Linked DNA regions of Oryzias latipes. The protein of the gene in region 2 interacts with the protein of the main gene of each other region in a pairwise test. Links are inferred from orthologs where the notes say so. Each region holds a gene or a part of one and is shown on either strand. Other genes may lie near its edges.

Region 1 (2,926 bases), on a different chromosome or scaffold from region 2:
AGCCACTTGGAGACAAATGGATCTATTTATGTCTTTGTTTTTGTTGTCCGAATTGCATTTTGCTCAAAACTGTAAGTCTGGATGGCTCCGATATTGCTCGTCATTTTTGTTGCACCACTAATGTTAGGTTGGGGTTGTGAGGGGCTGCAAGCTAGCAGAAAGAGAAAGGGATTATGGGAAAGGAGGGTCGGCTTAACGACTTTCCTGCCGCTCTGCAGCAACTATGTCCCATAAAACGACACAAGGTTTTTTGGGGGTTTTTGGCCAAAAACAACAATCATAATTAAAGGACCACTGGGTCTCATCATCAAAAGATTATAAGGGTGGGATTTTAAGTAAATAAAACAATTTTTTTGTCTTCCATCTTCTTGCACTAAACATTGCATTCTTAAAGGGAATGCTGTGAATTTTTTTTATTTTTTCATGTTTGCATCTTAAAAAGCAGAACAATCTGATATTTATGCATGAAGAAGTTGTAATTTGTTTTTTTTTACTTTTTACGTCTTTTAGGTACGCGAACTCGTCCTTGATAACTGTCGATCGATCGAAGGGAAAATCGAGGGGCTCACAGCTGAGTTTGTCAACCTGGAGTTCCTCAGTTTGATAAACGTTGGCTTAATCTCAGTGTCCAACCTACCAAAACTAGCAAAACTTAAAAAGGTAAGCCCAGACTACACCGCTCGCACTCTTGCACCTTTCAGTGAAGATTCAGCTCATGTGCTGCGTTGCCTTTCAGCTGGAGTTAAGCGACAACAGAATCAGCGGCGGCCTCGATGTTTTAGCAGAGAAACTCCCCCACCTCACACATCTAAACCTGAGTGGGAACAAATTGAAAGACCTCAGCACGTTGGAACCTTTGGTAGGTCTTCACATGTGCCCTAAGATGCAGAATGTTACACACGTTTGCCCAATATGTCTGATTCCTATGCATTTAGACAACAAGCCTGCATTACAATGATGTGAAGATGTAATATTTTAGGAAGTAAAAGTTTTCTTTTTTTCAGTGTACCTGCAATGTTGTGAATTATTAATGCCCCAAAAACTTGGATATACTTTATCTACGATTAGAATCATTCACATAGCAGAAACTCAGAAACATTTTGGACTGTTTGATTATTTATTTATTATTTAAAGTGAGGTTTAGTTTTCAGAACTGCTTTAAAAATTTTAAGCCTAGACAAAGGCCTTTATATAAACAAGACTGTAGTGCGTCTGTGCATAGCATCTACTTATCCACACTCTAATGCGTTGTAATTAAGGGATGTTGTTTTCTGAATGAAAAATAACCTTTATTTATTTATTCATTTATTTTAAATAAAAATTAGCTACCGTAATTTTTCAATCTTAAGTCACAAAACTGATTACAACTGTTGCCTTTCAGTCCGGGGCAATAGAAAGGATCCCATTGATTTTGCCAATATTAAATCCTAAATAGCTAAATAAATCTTCAAATGCACTTTAAACTTCTACTTGAGTTTGGATTCTATACCTGAGTCCATGATTCTTAACCTAGTTATTTAGTTAAAAAAAAGGTACCGGTACATTTTAAAATGTAGACATTACTATCAATGCATAAAAAAAACGTGATCATAAACCTGTCTCCTCCTGTTGGTGGATGCAGAATAATCTAAAAGACACAATAATAGGAAAGTAGCATATAGGTTATCTTAACTGTGAGGTTAAAAAAAACTTTAAAATGAGAAACAATTGAAACCACCTGTTCAGAATCATGGAAAACACTTAACTTAACAAGACTTAAAAAAGCCTTCAAAGTTTTTAAAAGTGCTGAAAAATATGGACCTCTTGGTTAGTCCGACTCAGCATCTCTAGAGCAGCTCCTGCCGTTTCACTGTCATGGATGTTTTTGCTTTTGTTGGACAGAAAAAGCTGGATAACCTGAAGAGTTTGGACCTGTTCAACTGTGAAGTAACGAATCTCAACGACTACAGAGACAGCGTCTTCAAGCTGCTGCCTCAGCTCACCTACCTGGACGGTTATGACATAGCAGACAGGGAAGCCTCTGATTCAGACGGGGAGGTGGACGGTGTGGATGACGATGAAGATGAAGGTTGGACGTCTGCACTTTTCTTTTTTTTTTTCTTGTAATGTATGATATTTTTCTAACTGTATTTTAAAAAAATTTATGGTTGTTTTACAGATGGAGAAGAGGAGGAGGATGAAGACGGAGAGGAAGAGGACTTTGATGAGGAGGAGGAGGACGAGGAGGATGAAGAGGAGGTAGAAGGGGAAGACGATGACGAAGAGGTCAGCGGTGAAGACGAGGTAAAATAAAAAAATCCAATCGGTTTATGTTGTCAAACAGTTCTGATGCATTTCTGGAAATCTTTCTCCGGTTTTGTCTCTTCTAAGGAGGAAGAGTTCGGTCAAGACGGAGAAGTAGAAGACGAGGATGAAGACGAGGATGAAGACGAGGAGGGTATGCAGCTCTGCAAATTGCAAAAAAAGCTCTCAGAAAGTGAAGTGACAAGTTAGTGTGGAATGTGTCAGTGGGGGCATCGGTTAAAATGTCGGGACAAGCTCACCCACACGTGTGTAATTATGTAGAGGTAACACTTCTACGCATGTGACTTAATGATCATTTTTTAAAAACCAACAGTGGTCCTTCGTTAATTTCAGAAAAAAATAAAATTGATACTTTATTTATGGGGAAATTCTTCCCTCTGGGGGGAGCGGTGAGCTGCAGACTCGCTCGGGGGACGACAGCTGGCTGGGGAGAGCGGGAATCGATCCACCAACCCTTCGGTTGTTGGACGACCTGCTCTACCGCCTGAGCTAAACTACCGCCCAAATTAATTAATTTCAGTTAATTAGCTTAAGTAAGTAAGGGGGGGAAAAAACCCACAATAGGGGGAATCTGCAAAGAAGTCAGCTTTATTTATAACAATAATATGAATGTTTTAAGGCT
Region 2 (3,755 bases):
TCTAATGTAACTATATTGCACAACAAAAGCAAACATTAAACAGTCTTGGATACATTTTTACTTTAGAGCAACTGGAAAAAAAACAGCATTTTAAAATGTGTATGTCCTCTTACAGCCTTGTGTTGGAAATTATTGAAAAATGTCAGAACTTTTAACAAAACTGCTTCAAATTCAGGCTTTTTGTACCGCAACAATAAAAAAAATGCCTGTGAGGTCCTGGAGGGTCTGAACTGAAAAAGGAGCGACATAAGATGCTTAATTTTGTTTATTTCTCACTACTCTTGTTCTCATGTTCTCCATAGGTGTCCCCCTGTTTGAACGTGCTTTCTTGGCTGCTGTTTGTCCATGACACAGACATCCTTGCTGATGCATGCTGGGCACTCTCCTACTTATCTGACGGCCCAAATGACAAAATCCAGGCTGTTATTGACTCAGGAGTTTGTCGCAGACTGGTGGAACTGCTGTTGTAAGTAAAAGATAAAAATACAATAAAGATTTTGACAGAGACTTTAAATGAAGATATTTGGGGTTGAAAAAGCATGTTTTCAGTATTGAGGAATCTCATGCATGTTTTTGCCCTCTTGTATGGATTGAAATGCTAGATTTGGATTTATTGTGAACATTGTTTTGAAATTTATCAATGGTTCCCCTCTAGGCATTCTGATTACAAGGTGGTTTCCCCTGCTCTGAGGGCCGTTGGAAACATCGTCACTGGAGATGATCTGCAGACACAGGTAAGAATAACTTCACAAACTAAGCTAAAGTGCCTTTTGAGTTAGAATTGTTAGATTCATTTTTAAATTGGTGTCTGTCTAGGTGATTCTGAACTGCTCAGCCCTTCAGTCACTACTTCACCTGCTCAGCAGCCCCAAGGAATCTATTAAAAAAGAAGCTTGCTGGACAATCTCTAACATCACAGCAGGGAATCGAGCACAGATACAGGTTTGCTTTTCATGACACAAGCGTGTTGGCTTGGGGGGAGTAATTGCGTAACTTTATTGTACCGTACCTAATAACTGGGTTTATTTGTTCACAGATGGTAATAGATGCAGGTTTGCTGCCACCTCTCATTCACATCCTTCAGGTGGCGGAGTTTCGCACGAGAAAGGAGGCAGCATGGGCCATTACTAATGCCACTTCTGGAGGTTCTGGAGATCAGATTAGGTAAGACGCACAGTTCAACACAATGTATTTAGCTGATTCAGATTTATTTATTTTTAATAAACATATTGTGGCTTAATTTATGCCATTAGAAAAGTAAAAAAACTTGATACTTAATTAAACTGCATCTATCCGACTCTTCTCTTTACAAAGAAATTAAGTCAAAGCTTCTAAATGCTGTTCATACTGAAAGTCCCTCTAGACAGACTTTAGCTCTGAGTAAGCATGTTTGGTTCCTGACTAATGCTGCGCAAACACAGTTGATCCTCAGAGGTTTATTCTGAGTGATATAACACCTGTCCTTGTCTGTGTGCACTGCCCCCTGCAGGACTCTTGTGGAACTCGGTTGTATAAAACCTCTGTGTGATTTGCTCACACTAATGGATTCCAAAATAGTTCAAGTGGCTCTAAATGGTCTTGAAAACATCTTGCGACTGGGAGAAATTGAAGCCAAAAGAGGTGGTGGAATCAACCCTTACTGTGCCCTCCTGGAGGAGGCCTACGGTGAATGTTCACACTTTTGAAAGAATTATATTCTTGGAAAGAAAGTTATTGCTCTGCACAATAAGATATAGATTAGTTTCATTTATTTTTAAAATCTTATTAAAATAGTTTTTTTTCTTGCATTAGATTTAAACATTCAAAGATCTTTATTTTTTGTTATTAAGCAGTCATAATGAACAAAAATAACGGTCAGTTTCATTCAGCCCTTTTCCTATTTCTCTTAGGCCTCGACAAGCTGGAGTTCCTCCAAGGTCACGAGAACCAGGAAATCTACCAGAAAGCATTTGACCTGATTGAGCGCTACTTCAACAGTGAAGATGAAGACCCGTCTCTGGCCCCGGCCGTGGACCTGCAGCAGCAGCAGTTCCTCTTCCAGCAGTGTGAAGCCCCGATGGAGGGCTTCCAGCTATAATGTTAACCCTTCGCTCCTCCTGAGCTCCTCCGTCATTCCCACCTATGTTCACTTCTGTCAATCTCTGCCCGCTGGCAAGATCAAGGGTGGTGTTAGCTTCCAGCAGCCGCTCCTCAACGTGCTGTTAGCGAGGTGGGATTAATCATAATTGCATTTATTTAAAAGAGAAAAAAAAAAAGAATTTAAGACAACAAGAGCACGCGTGTCTGCATACGTCGGACATGGGTCAGTTTCTAAAGAATAATCAGCCAGTTTGTGAAGGTTCTGCTTATTTTTCTGTGTTGTGCCGACTTTCTTAGAATTTGAACCTTTCATGACCCGCTCCGGTTCCTGTATACCCCACTAGCACATTCTAACACCACTCATTTCTCTTTCGATTACTTTCCGTGCTCATCCAAATGGAGGATCCCCTCCACACTTGGCGGGTTTCCTGCTTCGTTTCTGAGTTGGTTGAAGTGTTTGGGCTGCACCACTTGTCTAAAGCATTAATGGACTTGCAAGACATACCTGGACGGGATCTACGCTCTCACTCCAGCTTCACGCGCAGAGAATAATCTAACCTGAACACTGGACTGACCGCACCATGTTGACCACAAGTTTGACTGTGCCCCTGGGGCGGGATCACGGGGCTCGGCGGACCTCCCTGGAAGGCACTAAAGTGACTTCAAAGCGTGAGATTGAATTCCCTTCTCTCTAATTGCGGATGGACAAATTAAAAACTTGACTTTCGCCAAGGAGTTAGAACTTGGCAGTAACAAAGCACACTGCTTGGATTCCCTCCTGGATCTCATATCATTCCTCTAACCAGTATTGGGATACCTTCACCTGCACAGGCTCCATTATCGAGTTTAAACTGCCTCCTGCCTTCTGGTGTGATGTGAATAAACCCATGGAACCATGGGAAATAGGAGTCTTCCCTTGCACTGAAACTATTGGACGGACTTGGACGAGACGAAAACGGACTATATAGAATCCTGGATTCAGTCCAGCAGCAAACCAGCGAGAATTTTTACTAAACCAGTTTCATTTGCAGCACTTTAGTTCTGGCCTGTTGCTTTGCTCATTGACAGGAATTTCCTTTTTCGCTTTTATTTGGATGATAACATTGCTCTTCCCCTCTTCTGGATGCAAGGGATAAAAGGTAGTGTACTGAGGGTGCCCCCCCCTCCCCGCTCTAAACTAGCTTACACTGTTTACGCTTTCTAGTTGGGGAATCAAGGTAACTGTGGACTAAAGCTGTCAGTAGAAAATGTGTCACAATCAGAGCATCATGCTGCCTAAACTAGACAAGATGTAGTTGCTTAGAAAAAAAGTTGACCTGAAAATATTTAACTTTCTGGCACAGGTTGAGGTAGTATTTTCTTTATTAATCTCAGCAAATCAATCTTTTTTTTTGGTACTTGGTGTGATGCGGTCTTTAATCAAAGGCCTTTTATTCTTAAATTGGGGGATTATTTCATGTCACGGTGCCATAATTTGATTAGAACACAAATTCTTCCCATAATCCAAACAAAACAAAATTTAAACTTGAAGAATCTTAGTGGTCCTTAGTTAGCACAACTGAATGTTTGTTTACCAAGTTCTCTTTATCATTTCATTTATCGAAATATCAGAAAGATGTCCAAATTATTTTTCTGTTCATTACTGTTGCATTGAGTTTGTGCATCTGTTGCCTGTT

The links. The genes of interacting proteins can lie anywhere in the genome.
Region 1: the proteins of kpna1 (region 2) and anp32b interact in binary tests that used the Homo sapiens proteins (3 or more experiments, as listed by UniProt). The link is inferred for Oryzias latipes from reciprocal best matches to the Homo sapiens genes KPNA1 and ANP32B.

The regions. Positions count from the first base shown.
Region 1 is NC_019859.2:16,898,529-16,901,454, reverse strand, and holds part of anp32b (acidic leucine-rich nuclear phosphoprotein 32 family member B), read left to right. Parts: intron 1-510; coding exon 511-660; intron 661-736; coding exon 737-859; intron 860-1,881; coding exon 1,882-2,068; intron 2,069-2,158; coding exon 2,159-2,283; intron 2,284-2,370; coding exon 2,371-2,437; intron 2,438-2,926. UniProt on the Homo sapiens protein: Multifunctional protein that is involved in the regulation of many processes including cell proliferation, apoptosis, cell cycle progression or transcription.
Region 2 is NC_019878.2:17,885,160-17,888,914, reverse strand, and holds part of kpna1 (importin subunit alpha-5), read left to right. Parts: intron 1-302; coding exon 303-466; intron 467-655; coding exon 656-734; intron 735-816; coding exon 817-942; intron 943-1,036; coding exon 1,037-1,164; intron 1,165-1,489; coding exon 1,490-1,665; intron 1,666-1,889; coding exon 1,890-2,077; 3' UTR 2,078-3,755. UniProt on the Homo sapiens protein: Functions in nuclear protein import as an adapter protein for nuclear receptor KPNB1. Binds specifically and directly to substrates containing either a simple or bipartite NLS motif.